Linked DNA regions of Tamandua tetradactyla. The protein of the gene in region 1 interacts with the protein of each later gene in a biochemical or structural test. Links are inferred from orthologs where the notes say so. Each region holds a gene or a part of one and is shown in the gene's direction. Other genes may lie near its edges.

What was found.
Region 2: the proteins of RPS6KA1 (region 1) and ARHGEF12 interact in a test that uses a peptide from one of them, tested with the Homo sapiens proteins (2 studies listed by BioGRID and IntAct, with this or other methods). The link is inferred for Tamandua tetradactyla from reciprocal best matches to the Homo sapiens genes RPS6KA1 and ARHGEF12.
Region 3: the proteins of RPS6KA1 (region 1) and MAST1 interact in a test that uses a peptide from one of them, tested with the Homo sapiens proteins (2 studies listed by BioGRID and IntAct, with this or other methods). The link is inferred for Tamandua tetradactyla from reciprocal best matches to the Homo sapiens genes RPS6KA1 and MAST1.
Region 4: the proteins of RPS6KA1 (region 1) and HTRA1 interact in a test that uses a peptide from one of them, tested with the Homo sapiens proteins (2 studies listed by BioGRID and IntAct, with this or other methods). The link is inferred for Tamandua tetradactyla from reciprocal best matches to the Homo sapiens genes RPS6KA1 and HTRA1.

What each region holds. Positions count from the first base shown.
Region 1 is NC_135328.1:199,665,601-199,673,225, reverse strand, and holds the start of RPS6KA1 (ribosomal protein S6 kinase alpha-1), read left to right. Parts: upstream 1-4,617; 5' UTR 4,618-4,683; coding exon 4,684-4,818; intron 4,819-5,608; coding exon 5,609-5,725; intron 5,726-5,994; coding exon 5,995-6,076; intron 6,077-7,625. UniProt on the Homo sapiens protein: Serine/threonine-protein kinase that acts downstream of ERK (MAPK1/ERK2 and MAPK3/ERK1) signaling and mediates mitogenic and stress-induced activation of the transcription factors CREB1, ETV1/ER81 and NR4A1/NUR77, regulates translation through RPS6 and EIF4B phosphorylation, and mediates cellular proliferation, survival, and differentiation by modulating mTOR signaling and repressing pro-apoptotic function of BAD and DAPK1.
Region 2 is NC_135334.1:20,292,656-20,300,516, reverse strand, and holds the start of ARHGEF12 (rho guanine nucleotide exchange factor 12), read left to right. Parts: upstream 1-4,861; 5' UTR 4,862-5,738; coding exon 5,739-5,770; intron 5,771-7,861. UniProt on the Homo sapiens protein: May play a role in the regulation of RhoA GTPase by guanine nucleotide-binding alpha-12 (GNA12) and alpha-13 (GNA13). Acts as guanine nucleotide exchange factor (GEF) for RhoA GTPase and may act as GTPase-activating protein (GAP) for GNA12 and GNA13.
Region 3 is NC_135337.1:89,801,169-89,808,559, reverse strand, and holds the start of MAST1 (microtubule-associated serine/threonine-protein kinase 1), read left to right. Parts: upstream 1-4,382; coding exon 4,383-4,465; intron 4,466-6,030; coding exon 6,031-6,119; intron 6,120-6,521; coding exon 6,522-6,597; intron 6,598-7,391. UniProt on the Homo sapiens protein: Microtubule-associated protein essential for correct brain development. Appears to link the dystrophin/utrophin network with microtubule filaments via the syntrophins. Phosphorylation of DMD or UTRN may modulate their affinities for associated proteins.
Region 4 is NC_135339.1:85,084,892-85,092,487, forward strand, and holds the start of HTRA1 (serine protease HTRA1), read left to right. Parts: upstream 1-4,591; 5' UTR 4,592-4,609; coding exon 4,610-5,105; intron 5,106-7,596. UniProt on the Homo sapiens protein: Serine protease with a variety of targets, including extracellular matrix proteins such as fibronectin. HTRA1-generated fibronectin fragments further induce synovial cells to up-regulate MMP1 and MMP3 production.

The sequences.
Region 1 (7,625 bases):
GATTTGGGCAGTTAGAGAAGGAAATCGGGCCTCCTGGCTGGAGAAATGGCAGGGGCTGGGACTCAGCATTCAGGCATTCTGAGTTCAAAACCCTGTTTCTCATTTGCCTTGCAACCTTGAGCAAATGACTTGCCCCTCTGAGGCTGAGATTCTTTTCCTGTCGAAGGAGAATAGAGCCCAAAATGTGATGTGTTTAAAATAAAGCAACCAACAAAGTTTGTGGCACAATACAGGTCCTTAACGCTTGTTTATTTGTGTTCATTTCAGGCAGAAAGGGATATTGGGGTTTTAGGGGCAACAGTGTATACAGCGGGTTCAGGGTGAGCTCCGCTGGATCCCTTCAGCACTCTGGGTGCATTTGGAATCCTCAGGCACCCTGGGACTCCATTCACCCACCCTCCCTTCCTGGGGGTGGACTGGGCAACCCAGGCCCCCTCCCCTGGCTGCCTCCGGAGCTGGACCCCTTTGAAGCGCCTGCAGGTCTATTTTGAGAGCTGAGTGTCAACCCCCTCCCCTCCTCTCTTCCTGTTTATGAAACCCTGATCCCTCCCGGATCCCTCATGCTCCCCTGGCTGGAGCTCAGGCAGGATGTGACCACGGACTTCGGGGAACCTTGGGCAGCCTCAGGTGTTGGGGGAGGACTTCCCCTGGCCCACCCTCCCTGCACCTGGGGCCCTGGGGCTGGCCTCTGACCATGGTAAGACTGCCCAGCTAAACCAAGGAGAAGTTCTGTTTACAATGTCCCTTTGTCTCCATGGCCCAGTTTGCTTCTAGAAACAACTTTCTGAGAGTAGCGCATGCCATTTTTACCTCCATTTTATAGAGAAGGAAATCAGAGCTCAGGCAGGGAAAGACCGTGGCCTGGGAGCACTTGACCAGTGTGTGGCCAGTTCTTCTTGACTTCCCACCTCTACTCTTGGCCTCCAAACTCTTGCCCACACCTGGCTCTCTGCCTGTATGTCTTCCTTCCTCCTTTCGGCCTGGCCAATGTCTGCTCATCTGCAGAACCCAGCTTTGAGTTGCCACTGCCAGGCACCCACAGCACCTGCTCTCAGTTCTGTCGCAGGACAGTTGTATTTTATTATCATGTGTATGAGGGCAAGACCAGGGTCTGCCTTAGCTTCCGCACCTCTTGGCCAGGGAGAGGAGGGGATCAGTCACTGCGAATGATGTCCGGAGGAGAACCAGGCTGGTTGCCCTTGCGGGAAGGACAGTGAGGGAATGCTTAAAAGCAGGGTCTTTATACTTCGATTTTGCCCTTGGCTCCACCTCTTTCTAGCCATGTAGCCTTGGGCAGGTCACTTTCTCTTTGAGTCTAGTTTCTTCATCTTTGAAATGAGATGACAGTACCTCCCTTGGAGCCAAGACACAGGATCTTAGCCCCAGCCCCAGCCCCAGTGCCGAGTACAGGAACAGCAGAATCCCCACTGGCAAAGGTTGAAAAAAAGAATGGCCGCATGCAAAACACGCTTGGCTAATAGGAGGTGCAGTTCTCATTGTCACTCGTGCAGGTCCTGGCCTGGTGCCTGAGGCCAGCTCTGCCTTCAGGGATGCCTGAGAATGGCAGCCTCCCTCCTCACCTGCCCAGAGGCATGCTGGGAATTGCGTCTGGGGGCATCTGTCCCACCAGAGGGGTTTAGTGCCTGGTAGGCCCGCAGATGCTGCCAGCTGGGCAAAAGGCTAGTGGTGTCCATTACGCACTGGGACTAGCAGGTGGGCTTGGGCGGCAGCTGGAGGAGGGAGGCCAGGGCTGGAAATCAGGGAACCAAGGGTCAGGCTAGAGTGCTCTGGATCTCTCTTCCAGCTGCCATGTGGGAGGAAGTAAATCAAGAGGAAGTGTCTCTGGTGGGGAGCGAAGGGCAGGGACCGAGGGGATGTGGGCTGGTGCCTGTCCTCCTGCCGCTAGAGGCCTCCCAGCCCCTCCGCATGCCCTTCTGTGCAGGCCGTTCTGAGACTGTTTCCTTCCTGTGCCCTGCCGGCCGCAGCGGTTCTTCCTCTGCTTCGGGGGGAATGGGGGTGGTGGATGCCCCGCTGACACCGGCCCCTCTTCTGCTGCTGGGCCAGAGAGCTTTGAGGTTCCCAGGGCTGTCCCGGTCTCCATGGGGGGAGCCTGAGGAAGCTGGGGTGCAGTGAGAAGCCTCGGATTCAGGGAGGCATTTCAGAACGCCTGGCATCGCCCATCGGAGGCTGTTATCGGAGACCCCGTGAGGGCAGGGAAGGGGAAGTCCGTGGGCACTGCAGGCGTGTATTTCCACATAGGCCAAGTCTGTGGAAATGGTTTCCGATCACCGGCCTGAGTGTGTGGTTGTGTGCCTGTCAGTTCCTGTGGGTGCACTGGTGTGAGTGATAAGATGAGGCCACATGGAAAGGGGCTGGGCCTGGTCTGGCTCTGCCCCACAGCCCCTTGCCCCTCTATCCTGTCCTTTGTGTCGGGCTGTCCCCCTTGCATCTCTGGGCCCTGGAGCAGCAAGCCTCTTCAGGGCAGGGCTGAGAACGCAGAGCCCTGGAGCCGGGGAGGGCTGCGTCCTGTGGTGCCGGCTGTGAGGCTGGCATCTTGGGTGGGCCCAGCCACAGGAAGGGCGCTGTGGGGGCAGGAGTGTCTTGAGCTGGACCGTCTAAGCTCTGGGCTGGGCAGTCAGAGGCTATGGCTTTGCTGACTTCTGTCTCCCCTTCCTCAGGGCCCCTCCAGGTGGGTGTTCCCGGGTGCTGGGATGCCCCCCTGTGTCACCACCTCATTGCCGCATGACCTCCATCTGTATTCCTGTGTCCCCTCCCTAGGGTTAGAGGAGATGGGGAGGGGCGCACACCCAGTCCTCCCTGGGGTAACGGGCTTGGGGTCTGTGGTAACCCCTCCTCAGCAGGGGAGCCTGACCCATCTTCTGTCCCTCCTCCCTGCGGAGGGGGAAGTGAGAAGGAGGGGGGCCAAGGACCCTGCCTTCTGGGCTGGGAAGACTGAAAAAGCAGAAGTAAAGGGAGTAACAAGGCCCTCTGGCCACCGGCTTGAGCCCCACCATGCAGACCACGGCAGATTTCCCCAGGGTTGGGGGAGACTTGGTCTTCTGTCCCAGGAAGGTGAGCAGAGAGAAGGCCTGCGTCTCGTGATGTGTCACCATTACTCTGGGCAAGGGCAAGGGTTTGGAGGATGGGGTGTCTCTGTGTCCTGGGGTTTCCCGATAGTTGCCTCTGTCCCCTGGGAGCATTCTCGGTCAGAGACAGCTGACGGATGAGGTAGAGGCGCAGTTCTCAGGGCAGGGTGGGCAGAAATGGCTGTGTGGTCTTGGCCGCCCCCCGCCTCTCTCTGGGCCAGGCTTTCGGCCTATCCCACCAGGGGTTTGTACTCAAGCCTGATTTGCCTGCAGCTTTTTATGGCTGTTACACCACTCCCCCTTCTTTCAGGGAGGGTCCCCTGGGGATGGGACTGTCTCTGAGGGTCAAGGCCTAGAGTGGGAAGTCCCCAGACTGACCCTGATGCTGAGGGAGGGGGCAGGCCTCGGTGGGGAGGAAGTGGCTCTGGCTGCCTTACCTGCCCACCCTTTCCTGGCACTTGAGGCCTGCTGATCCCAGGCCAGGCAGCAACCAGGGGAGGGACTTGGGTTTAGCTGGCTCTGCCACTGGCTTGCTTTGAGCCTGGGTGAGTCACTGTCCTTCTCTGGGCCTCAGTTTCCTGTTCTCAAAATGGGGATATTTTGGATTAGAGTCAAAGCCATCAGAGTGCGCTCTGGAGATGACCCCTCAGCCCACCATCTTAGTCCTGGACCCCTCAGGTCCTGGGGTGGGAAGAAGGTCCTAGGGACCTCAGAGATGGGTCTGCCACAAATACCGGGTTCCTCTCCTGGGTTCTTGGGATTTGCAGGTTATGTCCCCTCATCCCTTCCTCCACCCCAGGCAGACTGAAAGAATCCAGAGCTCTGTCTTGGAGCTCTGACGCCCCCTTTCCTGGGGATCCTCGCCCTGCTACCTGTCTCTGTGTCTACCTGTCTCTGTGTCTACCTGCTGAGTGCCTTCCTGTCTTCACTTGTTGGGTACATGTCATCCACTAGGTGACCCACACCTGTCTGTCTCTGCCTGTTGGGTTGGTACCCCCTTCTGTCTCTACCTGTTGCGTACATGTACCCTCCTGCCTTGCCTATTAGATACGTGTCCCCATTCATCTCTGCCTGTTGCATACATGTCCCCTCCTGCCTCCACCTGTTACGTACATGTCCTCATCTGCCTCTGCCATTGAGAACATGCCTCTGCCCATCTCTGCCTCTTGGGTATGTTTCCTCCTGCCTCTGCCTGTAGGGTGCTTGTTTTTTTCTGTCTCTACCTCTTGGATGCCTGCCTCTGCCCTTTGGATGTCTTTTTTTTATCTGCCTTCATATGTTAGGTGCCTGTCCCTGCCTAACCCAGAGTACTTACCTGCTTCTCAGCAACTATGTTGGCATGAGGCCCCCAGGGAGGCTGGGGCAGGGAGGGCCTGAGGGCAGCCCTCAGGCTTTGGGGTGAGGGCAAAAGAGAGGAAGGGAACGTGGTGAGGGTGTAAGCCTGGAGCTGGGAAACCACAGACCTTGAATGATTGGCGGTCCTGGGCCAGGCCCAGCCCCCGCCATCACCCTGCACATCCGCCCTGGGCCGGGCCGCCTCCGAGGCAGCCCGGGACGCTGCCTGCTCCTGCCATGGTGCCGCGGCCCTGCTGGCCAGATGGAGCAGGATCCCAAGCTGCCCCGTCTGCGGCTCTGGGCCCTGCTCCCCTGGCTGCCCAGGAAGCAGCGGCCCAGGATCAGCCAAACCTCTCTGCCTGCCTCGGGCCTTGGCTCTGGCCCCCAGCAGGACTCGGTGAGTGTACCCGGATATCTGGTCCTGGCCTGGCTGTGGCCCTTGGAGCAGGTGCCTGGGCAGCCAATTTGGCCTAAGTTGTCTTTGGGCTCTCTTGGTCCCAGCCTGGCCCCGTGGGTGACTGGACCCTGCCTAGACTTGCTTCCCAGGGAAGTAAAGAGGCCTTCAGAGCTCTAGAGACACCAGAAAACTGGGAGACAGCAGAAGCTTCCTAGAACAGCCAGGGCCTGGCAATTGGCTCATTGAAGGGAAGTTTGAAAGGGTGGGCATGGCATTTCTGGTCTTAACTCCCACCCACCCGAGGCTGGTGCTTACTGGGTAGGTAGGGAAGTCCCAGGTGACTCAGCTCTCTGTGTACCTCGGCCTTGTCCTGTTGGCCAGAGGGATTCACTCCATCTCATCCTGACCAGGAACAAAGGTCCAACTCCACCTACCCAGTATGAGAATAAACCCTACTTCCTATTGTAGCAAAACCAAAAACGTTTGCAGCAGGGGAAGGGAAGCCCTTCAGGGACGACCTGGAGGTCTCAGGGCTTTAGCCAGAGCTTGCGGTTGGGGGGAATTCCTTCCTGGTTGTGCCAGCATCCTTGTCGCCTGACCCACACCTTGGTGGTTTGACCCTTCCAGGTCTCTGAAGCCCTTTTGGGGTTGGTAAACTCAGAGGCAGTTGGGGTAGTGTCCTGGCCAGACCTGCAGGACGCTGTCTACTGAGGTCCAGCGGGAATGGTCCCAGACTTGGGGGGGCCCCTGCGTGGGCTCTCTGTGCTCACCAGCTCTGTCCCTCAATCAGGATGAGGGCGTCCTCAAGGAGATCTCCATCACTCACCACGTCAAGGCTGGCTCTGAGAAGGCCGACCCATCCCAATTTGAGCTCCTCAAGGTGCTGGGCCAGGGATCCTTTGGCAAAGTGAGTTCTGAGCCCACTGCTGGGAGGAATTCCCTGGTTATGTCAGAGGTGGGGGGTGAGGGGTCACTCAGGAAATCGGGGGTAGGGTTGAGGGATCTGGGGGCAGGGTGAGAGGTCACCATGGTGCAAGGTCACTATGGTGCTGGGGGAGGGCAGAAGGTCAGCTTGGGGCTCCGGAAAGTTAGAGGTCAACTTGGAACCTGGAGGGTGGGGTCTGACGGTCCCAGGTGCCCCCATCAACCTCCACCCCGACCCCACTGCCTTCTCAGGTCTTCCTGGTACGAAAGGTCACCCGGCCTGACAGTGGACACCTGTACGCCATGAAGGTGCTAAAGAAGGCGACACTGAAAGGTGAGTGGGTAGCTCCTCGTGTGAGCCTAGGCTGGGGCCAGGGTTGAGGGAGACAGCCATCCGTCAAGGGCCTTAGGTCTGATGGAGAAGGTGGCTCTGTCCTCAGGAGTGCCCAGTCTGTGAGAGGAGATGTAGGCCTGCATTCAGCCACCCACAGGACACACATGATGGGGGAGGGAGGGCGTGTTCAGCAGAAAATATCCCATGGCATTACCACGTCCCCTCCTGCAGCCACCTGCCAATGACCAGGATGGAAGGTGACTGTCCGGAAGGAGGCAGAGGGACAAATGCAGTGTGTTTGTAGTGGGGTGGGGACCTCAGATATCTAGCATCAGGCTGGTCGGGAAGGGGAGGTCTAACTGTCAGCAGGGCTGCCTCATGATGTGAGCCCAGGGGGGACCTCTCTGGTCTCCTGGCTCTAGGTGGAAAAGGGTGTGAGAGAAGAGGCAACAATCCCAGGGGAACATCTGAGCCAGGCAAGAGAAGGTGAGGTTGAAGCAGGGCCATGGAGATGTATGGCAAGGAGGTTCAGAAGGGAGCCCCAAGCTAAGGTTTAGAATGCTGGGGACCTCCAAAGGATGTAAAAATGACTAGTGGCAGGCTTTGGGCTGGACATTGTCTCTAATTGTTCTGGGAACCAGTGCAGCCACAGGCCAGATAAAGTTAGAGCCTGCACCTGGCTGGTGGGGGTGGGGGATGGGGAATAGGAGGTGTTGGCCTTTGGGACACTATGGGTCCTGAGGCCCATGAAGGGCCGGCTGTGGGGGGATGGTAGATTTGGTCAGGGTGGTACTCATTCCCTAGGAGGGATGGTGAGAGCCACTGAGGAAAGAAAAAGATGAAAAGACTTGGCCCCTGTCCATGAAGAGCTCCCAGGCTGGGATGGGTGAGGCGGTAGGTGTGGTCAGTGCAGTGACACCAGGATGGGTATCTGTTCTAGTTTGCTAGCTGCTGGAATGCAATATACCAGAAATGGAATGGCTTTTAACAAGGGGAATTTAATAAGTTGCAAGTTTACAGTTCTAAGGCCTAGAAAATGTCCTGATTAAAACAAGTCTAAAGAAATGTCCAATCAAAGGCATCTAGGGAAAGATACCTTGGTTCAAGAAGGCCGATGAAGTTCAGGGTTTCTCTCTCAAGTAAGACGGCACATGGTGAACACAGTCAGGGCTTCTCTCTCGGCTGGAAGGGCGCATGGCGAATACGGCGTCATCTGCTAGCTTTCTCTCCTGGCTTCCTATTTCGTGAAGCTCCCCGGGAGGCATTTTCCTTCCTCATCTCCAATGGACTCTCCACTTCGTGGTGCTGCAGCATTCTCTGCTCTCTCTGAGTCTCTCTCTCCAAAATGTTTCCTCTTTTATAGGACTCCAATAAGCCAATCAAGACCCACTCAAATGGGTGGAGACATGTCATCCCCTAATCCAGTTAAACAACCATTCTTGACTAAATCACATCAACCAGGGAGATGATCTCATTACAGTTTCAAATATACAGTATTGAATAGGGATTATTCTACCTTTATGAAATGGGATTTATATTAAAACATGGC
Region 2 (7,861 bases), on another chromosome or scaffold:
GTTAATTACTGAACACTCTATACCAACTATGTTGGGTCCCAAGACCACCCCCAGGTTCATCAATTTGATTGAAAGATCCAGAGGACTCAGCATATAGTTGTGCTCAAGGCTATGATTATGGCATAAGGATACAAAGAAAAATTAGCAAACAGAAAAGATATATGGGGCAAAGTCCGCGGGAAACCAAGTGCAAGTTTCCAGAGTTCTCTCCTAGTGATGTCACACAGGATGTGCTTAATTCCTCCAACAAGTTGTGACAACATGTGTGAAATGTCTACTGAGGAAGCTCATTAGGAACTGAGTGCCTGGGGTTTTTACTGGGGGCTGCTCACTTAGGCAGCCTCTGCCTGGCATTTACCATGATTCCGGACTCCCAGAAGGAAAGCAGGTATTCAGTATAAATCATAGTGTTTGCCCAAACAGTTTAGCCACAGTGAGCCACTCTTATCAGTTCATTGTGGGAACCCTCTTGAAATCTAAGTTCCCAGATGCCAGCCAAGGGCCAAACTTGTAAGCAGGCCTTTCCAAGGACAGCAGGACATGCCTGCTGTGTTAACTCTTCACTGCACAAAAACCATATAGCTAGGGCTTTGGATGTGAGATGAATGTGGTGTGCGCAGATTTACTGAGTCCAGTTGTACAGGTTCTGCCCTACCAGGAAAACTGTATGCCAGTTCTCAGGGCTTTTGTGCATTAATCTCCTAGGCATGAGAGGCTGTGACTAAATTCCATAGGGATTTACTATGTGGATTCCACTGTGCTTGAGATGGCAGTTCAGGTTTCAGCTTTGCTGTACATATTGCAAACGAGAACCAAAGACTTTAAAAAGTATGTACTGGCCTCAGGGGGGAGATGAAGCTAATGTTTTGTTGTTGTTACTTCATATATTTTCCTTTTTAGTCCTCCTCTTCTTATTTCTCTCTTAAAAAGGTACCACTCTCTTTGGACACATTATTTTGACCAGGCCAATCTTGGAATAAATAAAATATATTTCTTAGAGCAATGGTCTATAATCACACCTTGGAAAAGCGAGAATATAAGCCTAGAATAGGGGGTAGAAATAAAAAATTCCTGGGTTCTTTAACTAATTTTGCTACTCACTCACCAGATTATTTACTCTTTGCCTCAGTTTAAACCTTTTTGTGAGTGAAGGAAATATCCCGGCATGTATTCATAGAGACATTGTGTGGCATTTTATTAATGGCAGTCTTTAAGTTATGACTTTTATGAAAAAATGAAGTATTATGTATGTATTTATTTATTTATTTATTTAACTATGTTATGTAGACCAGTGAGTGTCTGACTAGCTCAGTTGGTGAGCAAGTGTGTGGTGCTTATTGAAGTCAAGTAGAACGTCAGTCCATTCCATGTCACAGAAATACTAAACTAATGAGTGTCTTGAAAGTGGATGTTTGTATGGTTGGCCATAGAAACAGGCATGAGGGAGTGGGTGGAATTACACAAAGTCATCACTGCTATGGGAAAAGCACCTTTAAAGGCATATTAACAGTGGGTCTTTTTAAATGATTGCCATTTGGTTAGAAAGTTTTACTGGGCATTGACACAATCAAACAGATGGCATCTGTGCATCTTATTTCTATTATCAGTATCCCTGAGATGCTGCTGAGCTTCCTCCCAACAAAACTGTGGTCAGCCTAGAATGCTGGGAAGTGCTGATTTTAGCAAAAGCCTAGTAAAAAAAGAGTGGCTTGGTACATGAGCTTAAAAAAGAAAGAAAAAGAAAAAGCTGGCTCTTGAATTTTGGCACAGTGCAACCTGTTCCATACCAGACAAATGAATAGACTTAATCTGGTACCAGTTCTTTTCTCTTGACTCTTCAGAAGCAAAGGGATAGCAGATCTTGCCGTTTTGGGGCACTCTCATGGGAAAGTACCTAGTGTTTTTTTGAACCATGAGAAATCTGAATACGAAAAAGGGAATCCCTCATTTCAGCTGTTCTTGACATTGTGGCTAATAACTATGAAGAAACTTCTCTGAGAGAAAAAATGTGAAATGAAGATGACTCAGCAGTTAAAATGCTGAGTTTCTGCACCACAGGTAAATGAAGGGCTAATTAATCTATGGTATGGTTGGACAAAATGAAGTACTCATTTGCATTTGGATTGCTATGTAATAATTATTGATACTGCCCAAGAACGATTTATATATAAATAAGATTTGTACTAAATTTTATAAAAATAAACACATTTAAAAAATCAATTCAGAAGTTTTTATATCTTTTTTGTGGTTATACCAAGAAGCAAAGAAAAAAAATTTCTGACTTTTTTTTGCAGAAATATTGACTCATATTCATACTTCTCAGTGAAATACCTCTTATCAGTTGTTATCGGCAGCCATTCCTACTATTCTTTATTTTAGGGAGCAACAATCTACATATTGAAAAGTTTGTCAAAAGAGAGAGGAAAAAATTTATTTCTTGTGCTGCCACCTGACTGCCTTGAGAATAATAATGTGGAATGAATTCCTTGAAGACAGGGCCTGTGGCTTTCTTCAGAACTGTACTTCCAATGCCTCCAACAGTATGCAACACATAATAGGTACTCAACAACTATGTGGACAGAATGGAGAAGGCGATGGGAATGTGGTTTAAAATAATCCCCATTGGAAAACCTCCTGAAAGGGAATGCCTGGTGGCTTGGGTCATCAAGGTCATTTTTACCCCCGGAAAGGACTCCTTGACTCTGGGGAGTATCTTCTAGCTAAATTGACTCTTCTGAAGAAATTCTATAGATAGAGCCTTTAGAACAGTCAAGAGCTATAAACAGCTGTAAAGAGGCTTTCAAGGGACATTTTTTACCATTAGAGCTTCATGGATGAATATAGAGATTTTCATCATTAAAAAAAAAGTTCTGGAATGAATAACCACTGGCTTAATTAAATCCTTTGCTTACCATCTTCTGAAGCTTTCCCACAGCAAAATGCCTTCTTTGCTCACAGCTAGAACTTTGAGTCTGTTTAAGTTTGGAAAGGTCTTGAAAGCAGTCTGCCAAGAGGTTTTGTATGCAAGGAAGAGAAGGTGAATTAGGAAACTTTCCCAGTTTGTTTTATTCCTGAAGCTCAAGTATTGAGGTATTCTTGACGGGAAGAGGGGAATTCATTTTTAAAATGCATGATTGATGAGTCACTGGGAGCAACTAATTTGACACACTGTAAAATTTTTAGTTTTAAACGTATTCAGTACATTTAAGAAAGAATTATTAAATTGGACATAAACTTTGGATTTTGGTCACTGTATACAAAATGGATGGAGCTCATTCGAATTATGTGTAATATACAATTTAATTAGTGTCTTCAGATAGAATTGTCATCTAGGAAACACCAGCAGGTGGCAATGTGTCTTGGTCTGATCATTAGGAAAGTGGCTTGGAACCCTAATGTGCTTCTATTCTTTCCAAAAATAAACATTACAAAATTAGCTGGCTGTGCCTTGAACTTAAAAAAAAAATCAAGCAATAAAGAGTCATCTTTGGACTCTGTTTTGTTTATCTTTTCCTTTTGGTTCCCCCGTTTTAACGTCACCCTTAGCGAATGCATCTATTCAGGGATAATAATCCTTTCATGAACTTTGTGGAATGACGTTTAACAAACATTGTTAAGAAGTAATTGTTTCTTCTTTCCACATCCACTGCATATTAGATTTGATTTGCCACTTGATTTCCACAAAATGGCTGAAGCCACTCACCCACCAACTTGTCTAAACGTACAAGTCTGAAAATAGTTGAGTAACAAGGGCAGTACTTCAGACGTTTGAAGGCAGAATTAAAGAACTATATTATATGTTGCTGTTAAATTGCCACAATACCGACTTATTCAAACATAAAACTTGGATATCTAAAGCTCTGTCTCCAAACGGTAGGGGGGAAACCCCAAAGAATATTTGGGAACTCTTCAGAGAGAATAATAATGCTATTGGATATTTTTTCTCTCTCATTTCGTCTCACAATAAGCTTGTTAAATCATAGTGGAAAGCATTATGCTTTCTCAGTTTGGCAAATAATACATTTCATTTTGCCAAGGCAGAAAAAGCCTAAAAACAATATTTATCCCAAGAAATCCTGGCTTCAATTTCCAATTCCAGTCCCTAAGCCCCACACCTGCCACCTCCCACCCTAGGCAGCCAGGACTTAAGCGCCACGGCCCCTCTCCTGGGACGAGGGCAGCAGGTGCTCCAGGTGAGCTGCCCGCGCCAAAACCTCTCTCTTGGGGTTACCTTTAGGGGAAGAGGAATGGGATCCGGGATGGGCCCATCGGTCAAAAGCATTCTATACGTGTTAGAGAGTAAGGAGAACAAGTACATTCAATTAAGGAACAGAAGTTTCTAGGTCAAGGGCAGAGGGGGTGGTAAATTCCAAAGGCAGACCCTCATCATGAACTCCTAGGGACTGGGAGAGTTCTCTTTGGAGAACTCTGGTTAAAACTGAGTTAATACACGCTCAACCCCGACGCACAGCTCTCCGGCAGTAAGGGGGCGCCGGGGTGGGGGTGACGGTGTGTTAGTTGGTGGAGCTCCTGTGGCCTCAGGCTTTTCACCTTCCTCCGCCCCGCAGGACTACTTTTTCGTTCCACCAAACAAGGCTCTGGCGGAGGCGTCCGCGCGGGAGCCGCGCGAAGACGAGACGGTAGAAGCCGCGGAGGGATCTCGGGTGAGGTGGCTTTCCGAAGTCCGAGGGCAGCAGGCCAAAAAAGTCGGGGAGGAGGGGGTGGGCGTGGAAGGGAGAGAGCGAGCTCGCCTGGACGGGGCTGGGGCCAGGAAGGCCGAACCGGAACCGGAATCCGCGCGCGCGCCTGCAGTTGTCGCGCGGCCCCCCGCGGCTAGTGTCCTCCTCCTCCTCCGCACTCCGCGCGCGCGCCCGCGAGGGCCCCCGAGACCCGGCGAGCCGGCCCTGTGAGGGGAGTCGCTGCAACTCGCCCGCCCGCCCCCTTCGCGGGCGCTTTCGGGCCGGACCCGACAGGAACCTCCCGCCCCTCACGGGAACCGTCGCCTCTTGGAGCGTCGGGGAGGAGCCACCTCAGCCGACTGCGGAAGATTCCGGCCGGGGAGGGATGGGGAGCAGCCTGCGGCGCTGAGAGACACAGGTCCCTGTCATTTCAGGCCGCGGGACCCCCTCCCTAACAGCACCCGCTGCTCGTCACAGCGCTCGGAGCCTGGTGGGGGCGGTGAGGAAGACGAGAGGGGTCCCTGCCCCGGGGATATGGAGCCCCGTGAGCCGGGTGCGGGACTGCCCGAGACGCTGCAGAAGCTGCAGCCAGGAGCCGCCGGCAGCCCCAGATAGAGACCTGGGCCGAGAGGTCCTGGCCCGGCGGCGGCGGCGGCGGCGAGTTTGAGACCCCAAAGGAGGAACCGACTCTCGTCACTAATCCGATCCCTCCCCAGCCCGGAGGGATTCCTGGGTCCCCTTCCCCGCGGCTCGTGACTTCCCTCGGTGACGAAGTTTTTTCCCTTGTGCCTTCCTGAGGATTTATCACTAGCTTTAGAACTCGCCTTCTGGCAGACTTTCTCGGTTTGTTTGGGGAGATAACTTGTTTTGCTCCAGCCTATATCTACCCTGTCTTTGACCCCTTCCAATCGGATGCTCTAGATGACTGAATGGAGTTTTGAGTTGGACTTTTGTGTCCCTGAAGGAGTTGGGCCTGATCCCAGAGCACTGGGGGTGGGGTGGAGGTGTTACTGTAAAATGCAAGTTGGATAAAAGGAGCACCTCTCGCCAAGGGCCCCAATGAGTGGCACACAGTCTACTATCACCGACAGGTTGGTATGAAGCTCCTCCTGCTCTTAGTCTCCCGAGGTTCGGCCCTGCCTACTGCCGATTGCCTTTGATTAGTGAAATTGACAGGCGGGTTGTTCGGGAGCTATGCAAATAATTTAGGGTTGCTGCCGAGTCATCCGGTTGATTAAATTTGGAAATGTAGTTTTTCTGGAGAGAAACTTCTCCAGATTACCTGTAAAGCTATAGGTAAAACCGCGAATGTGGTTTTCTGTCTGTAAGTGCATTAGAATCTGTACTCAGTCTGAAACCAAAGGAAGGTCATTTTAGGTGAAGGTCAGTGTCTGAAGTCGGCTGAGTATTGGTTTTTCCTCAGTTTTAGTCCAATCCTGCAGTCTCTAGACACGTTAATTTTAGGAATTTCGATTTGTGAAGTTAATTTTGAGTTGCTGCATGGTGATTTATGATTTTAATCTCTTTTAGGTGTTGACCTGCATAGTGTTTACTTATCTAATAATTTTCTAGAATGTTAAATTTACCAGTACATCCCAGGCTCTTGCTGGAGGCACGATCAAGGACTGGGGGGGTGGGGGGGGGGGGAGAGGGAAAATCGTGAGACTTTATTTTAATTATTGAATTCTAATATTTTCAGAAACATTTGTATTTAAGGGATATAAACCGTAAGGTAATTATGTAGTACAAGCATGGCAGGTAGATTTGTTAAGTTGTTTGTCTTTTTTAGTACCTGGCTATGTTGCGTTGTTATATTTGGTGAACAGAGCTACACCATAGCAATCTGAAGGGGGTTTAGAGATATAAGTATATTGATTCCTTTATCACACTTTATTTCTCAGTTTAATTATGAGACTGTATCCTGGACCCAAATATCAGTCAGCTTGTTGTTGTTTTAAGTCAATCTTTAAACTATTACATCATTAAAAAGAATAGATCAGGTAACTGAGAGGCTCTGGTTTTTAAAAACATTTTGATGTAAAGTGCAACAATAGAGTACCTCCAGAAAGCACATGAATTTACTAATAAGGGAGTTTTACCCAATTGTAAGACTCACTTGTTGATTTTAAAAGGGCCAAATTCCATTATCATACCATAACAGCTATTCCAGAAACAGAAGAACTTCCTCTTCCTGTTGATGCTTTCCAGTGTCATGTGACTGTTCACCTAAAAGATTCCATTAAAAACTTAAACCATCTATTTGTTCCCTGGTTGCATATTTTTAAAAATGGGTTTTATTTTTCAATAAAATAATTTTTTGCAGAGCACACAACAGAAATAGCAACAATGCTAATCTTATTCTTTTCTAGTTGTCCCCATTCCTCAATTATACAGGGTGTTTTGCTTTTGAGAAATCACTTTCACGGGTTTTTGGGTAATTGTTTTCCTGGATCACTCAGTTCTTGCCCTTTCTGTTGAGTTTGTAGACAGAAGGTCTTATTAGGAACTAGTAAGTTCCTAAGTAGCGTTGATAGTTTTCATTGCGGTGCTAGGGGCATTTAATTTTGTGGAAACAGAGCTTAGTGCCCCCAGCTCCTTCCAAACAAAAATCACCAAATGCCCCCCCCCCCCCGCCCCCCAAGTAATGGCCTTTCTTCACCTTTGCTCCCCAGGGCTTTTCTTCCTATTTCTGTTATCTGGGAAATAAGATCTTGGGATTTGTGTTCTTTTTATAACTCACTAGAGGTATAAGCTTGAATAAACATGCAATTATTTAGAGCCTTTTTCTGTGCCAGGTAGTGTGTGAGGCACGAAAGATGGAAAGATGAGTATTCTAAGTATAAGATGAAACTGCAAATTGTTTTGGGTATTTATAGCTTTGAAACTGGTTCAGGTGCTGCTGATGTTCCATATTTTTTTAAAGGAAACAAAAACTTTTAATTAAGCACTGCTGAGAGTATGAATACCTGTTTCTTAGGAATTTATTACGAGTTTTTTTTTTTTACAAGCATTATTCTTATATGATCACTACTTTTCCTCAAAACATGTCCTTTCTGTAAATATTGATCATCTGTTTGCTCTTTAAAAGAGTAGTTGTCCTTGACTTGACTTGCATATACGTTGGGGTGAAATTTGGAAGTATTGGTTTAGTATTATTTATGTGCCAGGGGGCCTTAACAAAG
Region 3 (7,391 bases), on another chromosome or scaffold:
CCCTTGGGGTGTTTTAGTGCTGGGCGGACTTTCTACCCATGAGAATGGCTCTCCCCTAGGGGGTGTCTACGCATAGGGGTCTCTTCATGGGGCCGTCTGTAGGTGGCCTGGCTCCCGGGGGGGGCATCTGGAAGTCCCTCCCCTCGCCCTCCTTCCCGCCCCCACCCCATCCCCACCCCCACCCCAGCGCCTGCAGCCGTGGCCGAGGCCGGGCTCGGGCGCCCAGACGCAGTGACGGCACCGGGACCGCCCCACTTCGCTCCGCCCCCGCCCCCCCCAGCCGCCGCCGCCGCCGCGGTCCCCGCGGCTCTTCACTCCCTCCCTCCTCCCTCCTCCCGCCGCCGCCGCCTCCCTCCTCCCTCCCCCGGGCCGAAGCCGCCGCCGCTGCCGCCGCCGCCGCCGCCATGGACGATTCGGGCCTGATCCGCCGCCGGAGGCTGCAGGTACGCCGCGGCCCCGGAGCCGGGCGGAGGGGAAGGGGTCGGCGCCCTGGGGCGGGGCCGGGTAGGGGGCGGGAGAACTTGCACCAGGGTCGGCCCGGGCGCCCCCTCCCACGGACTGGGGACGCTGTCAGCCGGGGACGCGTTGGCCGCGCGTCCCGCCGCGCTGGGGACCCCGCCCCTCAGGCGCCGCCCGGGGCTCCCCAGAGCTGAAGGAGGGGGTGCAGACTAGCGCTCCTCCTCGAGGGGAGCCTAAGGGTCGCCGGTCCCGCCCGGGGAGGAGGGGACTGGGGCCGAGGTCATCGCCCTGGCCCCCCCCGCCAGGCGGACGTGGTGGGGGGGGGGCCCGCAAGGCAAAGTTATTGCCCCAGGGCTGCGCCCCTCGGGGCCGCCGGCGCCGCAGCAGCCGTAAACATGTTTGTGCGGCAGCCTCGCCCCTCATCACCCCAGGAGCCCCTTTCCGAGGCGTGGGGTTCCCCTGCACCCCCCATGCACCCTGCCTGATCCCCAGGATTCTTCCTACTGCCCTAATTGGACAGGCACCTAGACAGCCTCCTCACTTTTCATTCTACCCCATTCCCCACTCCCCCCTCCCTCCGGCGATCCCCAAGTCCAGCCCAGCTTGTGGGTGGGCGGGAGCGATTTTTAGCTCCTTGCAGCCTTAGAAGACGCTGGTCGCCGCTGCGCAGGCGCGGAACGCGTGGGTCCACTGCGCGGAGTGGGAAACTGAGGGCTGTTGGGAACGTGGGAAAGGTGGGGACAAAGCCAGGCTCAGGGAACTTCCACCTCCAAACCGCGTGAGGATTCTGAGGCTCAGGTCTTCAGCTCGGGCTTCTCGGGGTGGGGTGGGGATTTGATACGGGGGTCAAGCGCTGCCCCCACACTGACTCCGAGGGGAAACTGATCAAGGCTTTATCCCACTGTCGGTCTGAGGTCTGGCCCTTCTGAGCTTCTCTCCAACCCAGACCCGCTCCCGGTACTCTGGGGGGTGGGAGTGGACATAGATAAAGCCAAGTGTGGGCCCAGACTCTCGCTGCACCCCAAGACTGCAGCACGAAGGGGACGAGTCAGACTCATCCAGAGCGCCTCGTCCATCCCTGGACTCCTGTAATCCACCACCGGAAATGGAGAAGGGTCTGGCCATCGAGGTTGGAGACCAAGGGGAGCTCAGCGCCCATTGCAGAAGGAAAAATGGGGGTCAGATAGCAGGAAGGACTTTTCAGGAGGCTGGATGATGCTGGACCCAGGCATGGTTTGGAGAACTGATTTGGTTTCAAACAGAACCCAGATGGTCCCATCTCAGAGTCTGGGTCCTTTCTTTGGCAGGGCTGGGGGCGTTGGAAATGCGTTCTGAGAAAAGAGAAGGAGTTGCGACAAAGGTCGAGCAAGCGCTGCAGCAGCGGGGCTGGGTCCGCTCCGTCGGGTCCCTGGGAAAGGAGTGGAAAGGGGCGGGGCCTGCATGGGGTGTGTCTCCACCCTCCGGGCGGGCGCGGACTTCCATTGGCTCACCGCCACACGGGGCTGCTACCTCCCGCGGAAGGCTCCGCCCCCAGCCCTTGAATTGGGAATGGGGATCCCGCCCAGACCCTTCTCTCCACTTCCCCACCTTCCTCACCAAAGACGCCATCACCGATCACCGCCTGGCGACCGCCTGCTGGAGTCCAGTTCCCCTGCTTCCTTTCTGGCAAGATTAACCACTTCCCTGCTGAGTGCACACGTACACACACACGCACACACACACACACACACACAGATGTACATAGGTACAATCCCTTAGAGACTCTCCAACCATCGCAGAGCACCCAAGAGGTCCCCGGTGTGCATTTGGGATAGAGTACGTATGCAGGCAGCATCCTGAATTTGAACACCCTGTCGGCGGCGCCATCCATTAATTTTGAGGAGAAGCGGAATCATCTCCCTAGAGAGACTGAGATTGGACCTGTCGTCTAACTACCCTGACACCAAAGGTCCGAATCCTTTGCCACTCCGGTTTGTCCCCTCCCTCGACTTTAGAGTGTTTGGGAGCGCGAGAAGTCGAGGCTGTGTTCAAGAACTTACTCCTCCGGTGGCGCTTAAATGTCCCCACGGGGACCACGCTCGAAGGCCAAGGGTGCCTGCGTTAGAAGGGACCTCTGCCCCTCTGGGCTCCGTGGCCACAAAATCCAGACCTGGATTTCACTTGGGCCATTGCGGACGCGCGGCAAGTATGGCAGGTCCAGGCTGGGACTCATTCACGCCTATTCCGCAAAGACAGAAGGAAAACCCGGTGTGGATTTCTGGCCACCCGTGGCTCGAGAGGACAGGGCTGACAACAGGGGACAGCATGCCCAGTGACCCTGTCCATAAGCCCGTCCTCTCTCCATGAGAATGAGCTGTCCCTCTGGCCCATCTCCTGTCCTGGTAGCACGTCCATTCACAATTACTCCTATTCCCACGACCTAGTATTTATTGAGTGCTTACTATTTGCACGATGCCATCTCACAGAATCATCCCAGCTACCTTAGGAAGCATGGACTATTGGAAGGTCATTTGCCAAGGCCATAAGGGACCGAGCTGAGATTTGAGCCCAGGGCTTCCTGCTTTCTGAGATCTTAGGAAGAATCGAGAATATCCTCATTTTACCTTTCTTAGAGTTCCCACAACAGAGCTTTAGAAATCTCCCCCTGAATCTTTGCAGCCGCAGGGCCCCGGTCCAAGCCCCTTCCTTCCATCTCTGAGCTTTTCAAGATCGAACTAACTGGAAAGTGACATCACCTCTCTCCACTGCTGTCCTAGGAAAAGGGCCAAGATGCCCTTAACTCCAGATCCCTGAAGTTAGTTACTGAAACCTGGACAAATGGAATACAATCTTCCTCGAACGTGAACACACAAAATTAATAGCCACCAATTATTTTTATTGGCCATTGTGGAACAAGATACCAGGCCATTCACATTTCAAATCTCCTCCACCCAACACCCCCAACGGGACCAGGGTGAGGCAGGTCTGTTGGACTGTGGAAGATTCATTCATTGATTTATTCATTCAACATTTCATACTTGAACATGCCAAGATCATTCTTGCCTGAAAGCTCTTCTCCTTGCAGTTCCCTCTTCCTGGGGAATGCTCTCTCCATAGATCCTCCCAAGGCTGGGTCTTGCCTTTCAGCAGCCAGCTTAAAAGTCACCTCCCCAGAGTAGCCCTCATCCTGCTTCCTTCTATTCATAACACTTATTACTGTCTAAAATAATCTCCTCCACTTTATTGTCCATCTTTCTCCACTAAGTACTAACCCCGGAAGGTTTCTAACTTGTCTTACTGCTCTAGCCCCAATGCCTAGTTTAGGGGCTGGCATACAGTAGGCGCTCAAGATATGTATTTTTTCCAACAGAGACTGCTGCTTCATTTGCACGGACACATTGAGATGCCAACTCAGGAGCCCACCTATGGGGGCCCTCCTATTTTCTCTGCCCTGGTCTCTGGGGGAGGGGTGGGTGGAAGAATTCCCCTGGAACCCTCTCCCACGAGAAACCCGTCCCTCGCGCATCTACAAGGATGAAAGTGACAATGCTGATAAGGGACCCGCGTTCACCCTGCTTCTGCTCCTCCGGGGGGGCTGCAAGGACTTGCCGGCAGCGGTCACTGGCCCGCACTGACCCTTGTCCTTCTGCCCCTTTGCCTTCCAGAAGGATCTGCCCCTGCCCCGGAAAAGCAGCAGGTGAGCTTTGGGGAGAGACACGCGGGGCTGGCCGCCCCTTCTCCGGTCCGGGTGGGGGCGCCAGGCTCGCGCGCGGGCGGGGCCTGAGGCGCCGACGCACCGCAGCGCCCCCTCCTGGTGGGCGACGGCCGCAGGGTCCGCCCCTCCCCCGCCCTCCCTCGCCCGCTGCGGCTCCAGCCTCCGCCCCGCGCGCTCGCTCCCCGCGCCACCGCCGCCGCACCTGCCACCATGTCGCCGCCGCCGGGTCATGTCTGACTCTCTCTGGACCGCGCTTTCCAATTTCTCGATGCCCTCCTTCCCTGGCGGCAGCATGTTCCGCCGCACCAAGAGGTAGCCCCCTCGACCCCCACCCCCGCCACGGACCCTGCCCGGGCCCTCCCCTCCAAAGCCGCCCCTCCGGCCGCTGCCGCAGGGCGGGGCCGGGGATGCTGCGCCCGGTCCAGCTGCACCAGAGGTGTCAGGGCTGTGCCTTCCCGCCTAGGAGGGGAGCGAAAATGGGGGGGCTTGTTGTGGGCCGAGGCTGGGCGGGGGGGGGGGAGCCTGCACGCTGGGGGGTGACGGCCACAGGGGGAGGGGGGCTGCGCTTGGTGGGGGGCTTCGGCGCCTTTGTCTACCCGCGCTGCGGGCCAGGCAGCCCGGGTGGGGGTGAAAGAAGGAGGGGAAGGTGGGGGCTTGGCACCCTCAGAACAATAGCCGCAGCCTGGCTGAGCGCCCCCCCTCCCCGTGCCGCGTGCGCTGGACGCGCTGATCTGCTCTGTCACTGCGGCCGCCGGGGGTGGGGGGATGGAAGGGCTGGGGTCTCCCTCTTCGGGGGCTGGAATCCTGAGGGGCAGAGAGAAATGGGGGGAATTTTATCAGAGCACAGATTCCACCCCCCCTTCAAAGAACCCAGCTTCACACCGAAAACAGTGACACACAGAATCACGCAGGACATGATGTCACATTCACACACACAGCCCTAGCGGCCCAGATACACCCGGGAGGCGCCACGCACACCTCACCATGCAGTGGCCACGGGCAGGACCAGGAATAGACACACAGGCGTGGAAGCCCACAGGTCCAGTGAATTTCCACCCGGTAAGATGTCACACGCATAACCATCCATGCACAGATATGCTGTCGACATGCACACAGATACATGTGTGGCAAAGATATCCATGCATCCAGCAACATCAAAATGCTTGTTGTCACCCCTAGGCATGGTACACAAACACCAGGAGAGAATGCCGCGGGGAATCTTGCAGAGACAGAGACACACAAAATCACACGTTATCACACTCAGGACTCACCCAGGGGATGTCATGCAAAGTGGCATGCTTGGACATGCCTGGTGTTGCAGGGTATTACACCTCCTCAGAGGATGCATATGTGGGCCACATACTGACACTAGGGCAGTAACTCACACCGATTCGGAATGTCGCCCAAGGACAGACAAATGTAGTGGAAATCACACATCAAGCCCATACCAGAGCCCATGGTGACATTCCTAGACATGAACAAGTGGCATTACACATGGACACACAAAAGCACAGAAGCTGTCACACAAGATAAACCCAGGGAGCATCCCACATGGATGTCACACTTGCACACGCCCGGTGTTACATTGACCTCGCACTGTGAATGTCACACACAGTACCAAGGACAGGCAAGCAGACACTGGGTGACTGAGGCACTGTGTCCACACGGAGCGAGTCCAGCACGCACTCATCACACACTCATCCTCTCCCCACGATTGTCCTGCCGAGGCCTTCGTGGCCACCTCCTCCGAGCAGCCCTCCGGGGGCACCTTCAGCACACAGGAATGGGGGCCGTGGGCAGGGGGTGAGCGGTGGGCCGGGCTCCGGGAGCTCGCGCGGCTGCGGCCCGGCCTGGCCCCGACCTTGCCTTCCCCGCAGCTGCCGCACCAGTAACCGGAAGAGCCTCATCCTGACCAGCACTTCACCCACGCTGCCGCGGCCCCACTCCCCGCTGCCAGGCCACCTGGGTATGCCTGGGGGCGGGCGGCTTGGGTGGGTGTGGACCAGGCCGGAGAAGGCGGGGTCACAGGCGAGGGGCGGGGTCGCGCCGACAGAGGCAGGCTCAAATTGGGCAGGGGGCGGGGGCCATCCCTTCTGGGCGTGGCCGCTCACGGAAGGTTTGGCAGGGCGGGGGCGGGGTCAGACTGGGCGATACAGCAAAGGGGGTGGGGCCGACTTCAGGGGCGGGGCCAGACAGAGGCTGCAGGGCCTGGGCGGGAACCAAAAGCGCTTAGAGAGGCGGGGCCTCTGCGAAAGGGGCGTGGTCAACCAGCCCTGGGGGCGGAACCAGATTAAAAAGGAACCGGTAGCTGCTTGCAAATCCCAATTGCCGCCATCCCAGGCCTAAGAGCTCCCTCCTTACGCCACAGGCAGCAGTCCCCTGGACAGCCCCCGCAACTTCTCCCCCAACACCCCAGCCCACTTCTCCTTCGCCTCCTCCCGAAGGTGAGTCCCTCCCCCCGCAGGAGTCTCAAACCCTGCCCCCAGGCCCTCCCCGCCCACCGTCTGGGCCTCCATCTGTTCTCCTCTTAATTGCACCCGTGTCGGGGCCAGAGGGGACCCCCAGAGTGGTCCAAGGTCTCAGGGGGGCGGGGCGCCTTGCAGTGGGGGCGGGGCCAATCGCCGAGCGGGAATCGGTCGAGGGGGCGGGGCTTCCTTTGCTGCGGAGCAGAGGCGCGTGCGCCCTGGACCAGGGTCTCAGTCTCCCGAGCCCCGAGCTCCGGGCTGGCCGTTTCCATAGCAACAGGGCAAATGAGCCACGATGAGGTGCGCAAGCGCAGACTGCGCGGCGCCCATCGAGTAGCTCTTGGTCTCCGGGTGGGGGAGGGTGGCTGTGGCTACCTCTCCAGGGCCCGGGAGGAGGAATCTCAGGCTTCCCCTTCCCGAGCCTCTGGGGGGAATGGGGTGGGGGGCTCTGGAGTGTCCCCAGAAGAATTATCTCGGGGTCTTTGGTGGAATGAGCGGTGGTGGAGGACAGAGAGGTTTCCCTGATGTTTTTGGAGAAACTTTCTGGAAATTCCAGGTGTTCTGGGCGAGTCATTTTGAAGGCCATTCTCAGACGTTGTCTCAACATCTGCCCTGTGCTGGAACTGGGGAGGCGGGGTCTCTACCCTCAGCGTCTGCTGGGGAAGGAGATCAGGGAACAGGGATTCCTGCAAAGAGGGGTGAATGCTGCGGGCTGGGAGTCCCAGGGGGCGGCTCCCTGGGGAGGGGTCTGGGAAGGCTCCTCTCACCCTGGA
Region 4 (7,596 bases), on another chromosome or scaffold:
GTGCTTCCTCCATTTCTCATCGCGGTGGGATCCTCCTGATCCCTCAAATGTATCTCATTTGTCACCTCCTCTCAAGGTTCCTGATTCCCCCTGCATTTCCTTCTGCCACCCTGCATTTGTTTTCTTCCCCCCACCTCCCTGTGGTACAGGAGGCGCTAGACTCATCTGGCTCATGGGGTGCACTCATGTGGCCATTTAAATTTAAATTTAATTAAGCATAATTGAAATAAATGTAATTTAAATTAATTAAAATTAACTTAAAATTTAATCAAATTTAAAACAAAAAATAGTGGGTACTTTGTTGGACAGCACAGATAGAAAACACTTCCATCACTACAGGAAATTCCAGACTTTGAGCTCATGGGGAAAGAAGTTCATTTATTCAGTGCTGCATCTCCAGGGTCCAGCAAAGGGTCCGGCACACAGCAGATGGTCAAGAAATTGATTTTGAACGGAACCACACTGAAGTGACCTGGCCTTATCATCAGGGATACACAACCAGGAGTGCCCACAGTCAAGGGGGTTGTGGCCTTTTGGGAGAGGGTGGCGGAGGTGACGGCAGAGTGCCAGGTGCTCAGAGGAAAGGGAGCCAGGAGTCTTCTACCTGGGTGCTGAGTATCCTTCAGGGACAGAGTGGGATGGGTGTGAGGGGCAGTAAAGTGGAATCTGCCACCCTGGAACTAGAGGACAACCTGGCTCAAGGCTCAGGGTGGGTCAGTTCACAGAGGGTTTTGGATTTCAGGTTGGAAAGTCCGGACTTCATTTCCCTGGGATTGGGAGCCACTGAAAATGACTGAGAGGGAAGTGATAAGTGAAAGAGATGAAAGTTATTAATGTAGATGCTGTGAATTAAGAAAGGCCATATGCCTAACCATTCTGGGTCCTTTGTACATTTGGGAGAACAGTGGAGTCCCCAGGCCCAAGTGGAAGCCCTTTGTCCTACTGGGCAGCGCAAACTGGGCTGCTCCATTCCAATTAGAACCTCATTTCCTGAGTACAGCTTTGGCAGCCATGGTGTTTCATTGTTCATTATTCACGAACAGGCTCTGTTCAAAATTAAAGCCTGAATGTTATAAATTAGGACTGCAGAGAGGAGGGCAGGGACCTGGCCTGTGGAGCTTCAGAACTTCACCCTTTTCTCTGGAAAAATCCTCCCTCAGACTCTGTGCCAACCCCTGATGAAGGAGAAATGAATTTTCATGACGTATCAAAACATGCATCTTTTAAGAACTAGCTCTTAATAAATAGTGTTGGGGGAAGAATCTAAAAGAAAGAAAGAGCAGACCTTTCTCATCCAAAGCATAACTTCCAGACACACAGAAGCTCGAATGAAGGGAAGCTCACCAGTGGGCCCCTGAGTCCAGGTTTCAGCTGATTTATCCAGTTACCTTCCCCACTGCACGCGAGTGTGTCCCAGGCACACATGAAACACAATTCAGGGCTCCTAGATCTTTCCAGTGGGACTTGGGTTTCTCCAACTGAAGAATTGCAGGTGCGTTGTCAGAGCCGGTGGGGGGCTGCACTCACAGTGGAGGATGGTCCGGGATGGGATCGCAGGGTGCAGCGCTCCTGCTGACCTCGTCTTTCTAAAGCCTTGGGCATTGCAGCTTCTGCCTCTCCTGTATCACCCTGGCCTTCCATCCATCCCTTCCCATACCCTTCCTGCTGAAGCCACCGGCCTGGTTAGTGGTATCTTTCTTTCTCTCTCTGCATGGTCTCCTGGTTTGCACCGACTGAGCAGCACTGTTGACAATGGTGTGCACAGGGCTGTGAACATCACAATAGTAGTTCCGAGGGTACACTGAGGACGAAGGCACTGTGCTGGCCTGGGACATCCAGAGGTGAAGAAGATAGGGACCCTGCCCCAGGGGGGAAGGTGCAGGGCACCTGTCCAGGGCAGTAACAATGGACAGGTGACCAAGGGTGAGAGGTGGAGACAATGGCATTGAGCAGGCAGGTGAGGGTGGGAGAGGAGTGTGACAGGCAGGCAGGACTGGAACCGACTCTGAGCAAGGGCTGTTTGGGCCTGGTATTTTACCTGGGCCAGTCATTCACAGGGGACCTGCAGTCACTGCCACGTTCCTGGTGAAGGTAACTGAGGTGATCGAGCAACCTGCCCGGAGTCACAGGGTTGAGGGTTGAAATGGCATGATGCCTGCCCACTTCACTAGCTTGGAAGGGGAGGAAGGGTGTTCCAGGCAGAGGGAACAGTGTAAGCAAAGGCAGAGACTTAGAACAGGAAGAGATTGAGGGAGATTGGATCTTGTACTTGGACAAAAGCCATGCTCTTCCTCTTAACCTGTGTTCCTGTGGGTGTGAACCGACTGTAAATAGGACCCTTTCAAGATGTCTTATCAGTAAGATGTGGACTCATTTGCAGACGGGATCTTTAAAGATCCTATTTAGATGTGGCCCAATTGAAGCAGGGTGGGAGTTAATCCATCCTACTGGGTCTTATACAGAGAAGACAGAGGAAGCCACAGGAAGAAGCCAGAAGTCACCAGAAACCAGAGAAGCAGACCCAATGAGGGAGAGATGGCCAGGTGACGGAGGCAGAAACGTGAACCACGAAACCCTGGGGCGTGTAGCAGACCAGCACCAGAACCCTACAGACTTTGGAGAGAAAGCACGGCTTTGCAGACACCTTGATTTCGACGTCTAGGCCTGTGAGACAATGAATGCTTGTTGTTTGAGCCGATTCGTTGTGTGGTATTTGTCATAGCAGCCCTGGCAAACCAAGACAGGTTTGTTCCAGAAAATGCAAGTTGTTCAGCATTGCAGGAGTCCAGTTTGTGTGTATGTGTGTGTGTGTTGAGATGAGGGATGACGGGGACTCAATTCTCGGGGGCTGAGTCATTGACAGGGAAGGAGTTCGGAGACCCCATCCGACAAGTAACGGGGAAGCTTTGGTCACATTTTGTTCTGGATTCAGCTACCTCATGCTGCAGTCTGATCACTTGGCAGGAGGGTGGAGGACGGGGTGTTTTTTTGCAGGTAGAAGGGCCACTCAGAGGAGTCCTGGCTCTGGCTTGTTCACCTTGAGGTGTAACATATGACACTGGAGAGCCACTCACCCTCTCTGCTCCTCAGTTTTCTCACCTGTAAGATAAGGGAATTGGGACAAAAAACAGTTTTCACCAATTATTCCTCACCTGGTCTTCTTTGATTTCATCTCCCCTCTAATTTTGGTTTTGAGAGTCCTTTTATTTGCAGATCTAACATGCTGAGTAATTATCTCCATCCTTCCCCCCTTTTATCTTAGCCCACAGTCCCCCACGTGCTCAGAGCTTCCCATCTGGGCAGGTATCCACCCTCCCGGAGAAGGAGGTGAGGTTCTGGCTTTATGAAATAGTGCAGCATAGTCGGGGAGCCAGGCCGGTGCCCCAGTGTCCTTTTCCTGCCCTGTGCGGCTCTGCCTCCTTTCTCCCACTTTGTTCCCAGGCATCCCTCTGGGCACTGGACGTTTAGGAGGTGCTTTGAAGGGCTGTGCGTGTGTGGGCGGACATCATAAACATTTGGATTTTACTTTTTAAACTATTTTTATTGGAAGAGTAATGCGTGCACAAAGGAACAACCCAAATACAGAAGAACAGTGAGGAATCCCCGGGCCGCCCGCGCCCCCTCCCACCGCTCCCCGCCTCCCCTCCAGGCTCAGCTCCCTCTACAGTTCCCTCCCGTGTCTTCGCGTCCTCGGCGGCGCAGGCTTTTCTCTCCTGCTCGCGTTGGCCGGAATCCCGGCACTTCCTGGTGCCTTCGTGGACTCGCTTCTGTCCCCACAAGGATGCACTGAAGCCTCTCAACTGGGAGATCAAAAGAGAGCTTTTTTATTTTGTAACAAAATGGTCTTGAGATAACACAAGCACATGGTAAAAAATTCACAGTACTAAGCCCCTGTCCCACTCCACACCCCTGACCCTCAACACCCACCCCCGTTTCCAGCTTCTCGACTCTCCTTTTGTAAATATTCTGCACGGGGGGAACATGCATCCCACCCATAACTTTTGAAATGAGTCGATTGCAAATGATTCTGCTCTAAATACTTCTGCACTTGGCCTTTGTCACTTAACCACGGGGCTCGGCGCTGGCTTTTCCCAACCCCGTCTTCTATGTACGGCTGCACCGGGCACACGATGGCGGGCCAGAGTGCCGGGCGCGGGGTCATTTCCAGCGAGGTGCTTGTCCTCCTCCGGGGTGCGTGATCCGGGCCGGCGATCCCCGGCTGGCGGATCATCAGCTCGACATTCTGCAGAAACTTTTCCTGAGTGGGGCGCATAGACGGGGAAACTGAGCCCCGAGCGAGGACCGGCCCGCCCGCGCCCCACCGGGCCCTGCCCTGGCGCGCCCGCCCTGCCCCCGCCGCGGGCGATCCCGGTCCAGCCGCCGCCCGCCCTCCCGCCATCCGGCCTGCCCCCCTCCCGGGCGCCGTGCCCGTCCCCAGGCGGCTCGTCACCGCTGCGAGGCCAATGGGCTGGGCGGCGCGGCCACGCGCACTCGCACCCGCTCCCCCCGAGTTCCGACCCGGCCCCCGCGGCGGCACCGCCTCCCGCGCTCTCCCCGGCGCCGCTCCCCGGCCCTCGCCCAGCCCAACGCCGCCGCCGTCGGAGCCGCCATGCAGTCCCCGCGCGCCGCGCTCCTCGCGCTCCTCCCGCCGCTGCTGCTGCTGCTGCTCGCGGCGCCCGCCTCGGCCCAGTTGCTCCGGGCCGGCCGCTCGGTGCCGGCCGCAGTGGGACCGACCACCGGGTGCCCGGAGCGCTGCGATCCCGCGCGCTGTCCCGAGTCGCCGGAGCACTGCGAGGGCGGCCGCGTCCGCGATGCGTGCGGCTGCTGCGAGGTGTGCGGGGCGCCCGAGGGCGCCGCGTGCGGCCTGCAGGAGGGCCCGTGCGGCGAGGGGCTGCAGTGCGTGGTGTCCTTCGGGGTGCCCGCCTCGGCCACCGTGCGGCGGCGCGCGCAGGCCGGCCTCTGCGTGTGCTCCAGCAGCGAGCCGGTGTGCGGCAGCGACGCCAACACTTACGCCAACCCGTGCCAGCTGCGCGCCGCCAGCCGCCGCTCCGAGAGGCTGAGCCAGCCGCCGGTCATCGTCCTGCAGCGCGGCGCCTGCGGCCAAGGTACCTGCGGGCCAGCCGAGGGACCGCGAGGCTTTTGGGCTGCGGGTTCCGGGCACTCACTGGCCGGACAGCGGGCCCCGGCCCCGGGGTGGTAGTGTCCCGCGGGCTCCCTTGAAATCGAGCCTTGCACCCAGCCGGGGGTCGGTTCCGCGGCCGGCGGCTGCCAGGTGCGCTCTGCCTGGCAGCTCGGGATCGGGGTGGCCAGGGCGTCCCTCCCGGTGGCCGGCTAGTGGGGGCTCCCCGGGGAATAAGACAGGAAGGTGGGCATGAAGGGGGGCGAGAAGTTGGCGCCTGGGGTTGACGCCTGGTGCCGAAAGACTCGTTTCTATCGCTTTCTTTTCCTTTTACTTCTCCGTACTGCCCCTCCCCCAACCTTTAATGACCACCTTTTAAGGTTGATTTTTATTTTTTTTACGAACATTCTGGGTGAAAACTTTTTCCCCCGTGTAATGTAACAGACGGTGTTAGCCGTCCTTTTTCCCCGTTTCCCCGAGATGGTCAGCCCCCCCAGCAGGGACCAGTGTTAGCTTTAGTCCTTCTGAGCCAACCCTACAAAAATGAAAGTGGCTCTTTTTGAAGAACCGCTTGGATCAGGAAACCTGCCAAAGCAGAGGAATGGGGCCGGGGAGGGGGCAGGAAGAAGTGGAGCCCACCTCCCTCCCCATGCATCTTTTCTCCACCAAATAACCCGCCCTGGCAGTGGAGGCCTAGGTGCTGAGGGGCAAAGGAGTGGGTGGAGGAATCTCCCCCCTGAGGGACTTTCAGGAGAGATGCTCCTTGTCCTGGGGCAGCGAGAGCATGTGGAAAAACAATAGGAAGTTCAGCCGGGGCCAGTCCAGCTGTGGCCACAGGGACCCAGCTCTGTGCTTGGCGGCCACTGCGTGCTGGGCGGGCTCGGTTTCACTCCTCAGCCGGGTGGTGCGTGGAGAGGGGGAGAGGGAAGCCCGGAGCAGAGGGGCTGGGCCAGATCGGCTAGGTAGGATTATGGTCCAGCCTGGCCGGCCGGGACCGGGCATCTGTTTGGCTCACACAAAGAGGAAGGTGCTAGAGGGGTCTAGGGAGAAATTAGAGACTGTGCTTTCCTATGGTGCAGGAGCCCAGAGGCCAGCCTCAGCCCTCAGGGAGCCCCCAGCCTCGCTAGGGGCTGGGAGAGAGTTCCAGAGAAAGCCGAACCTTTAGAGGTGTCATGGTGATGGCACCCTCTCTGCGCCTGTCTGGGTGCCAGCTGCATTAGGTGCATTACACGATTCGGTATTTTCAGCCACCCTTGGAGCTTCTGTCACGAGTCTCCCTTTACAGAAGGGAGAATTGGGGTTAAATGCCTTGCCCAGGGTCATTCAACTGGGATTTGAAACGAGACTGCCTACCTCAGAGCCGCTGCCTGCTTACCCACACACCAGTTGGGTGGGGTAAAGGAAGTTTCCTAGGGCTGGGAACTGCATTGCAGGTGGGGACGGGAACAGCACAGCCTGGGGTGGGGAATGGAAGAGTGTGACCAGGCACATTTGGGAAGGGGAGCCAGGGTGATGCTGGGTCCCAGTGCTGAAAAGAACCAGCTGGGCAGGGTGTGCAGAGGTGCCTGAACCAGGGGGATTGGGGTGGGGGGTGGGGGTGGGCAGCTCAGAGCCTGGTTGTAGGTCCAGCCTAGCAGTGGGGCGCAGAATGCATTGGGTGGGAAGCTAAGGCTACTGCGGCAGTCTGGGTGGAAGGTCACAACCTTAAAAAAGCAGATTGCACAGCTTTGTCCAAAACAAGCCAGCTGTCAACTTTTGTAGTTTCACTGCCCAGGGTTCTGAGTTACTGGCACTATTCAAGCCGCCTCATTTAATTCTGTGAGACAGAGTCACTTGACGAGCTTTGGAGTTGGCAAATCCTTAAAAATTGGTTGGGCAGACTCGCTGTGTAGAGAGAAACAGGTCGGTTCCACTGACGATCAGACCCACAGCTGGACACCAGTAGGGGGGTGGGGACAGCTGTGGTGGGATGAGCCCAGTGGCCTTGAAAGGAGGGAGAGCCATAGAGGGCGCAAGATTCCTCCTTCCCTCCTTCGTTCCACAAATATTTGTTGAGCTCTGCAGTGTGTCCGACACGGCTCGTGTATTTGTCTGTCTGCCTGGCACATAGGAGGTGCCCAATAAATATTTGTTGATGGATGAGTGAATGGATCCATGAGTGAGTGACAGAGCAGGAGGGGCTGTCTTTGCTTAGTGGAAGGCATGGCTTCCCTTGGCTTTCTGGAGGGCACTCCGAGGACAGGGGTCTTGGAGCCCAGCATGCTTCCTTCAGTGGAAGCCCCCACTCAAGCGCTGGGAGGCTAGGAGCCCCAGGCAGGTCACTCGATGTCACTGTTCAGTGAAGTTCCTTGGCTGCCTGCTCTGGCTCGGAGTGTAGACAGTGGTGCTGTTTTAGCCGGAAAGGACAGGGCAGGCCTTTGAGGGTGCTATTAGAAAGGAGGCCTGACGTTAGGCGAGCCAGTGTGGGGGCAGTCCTG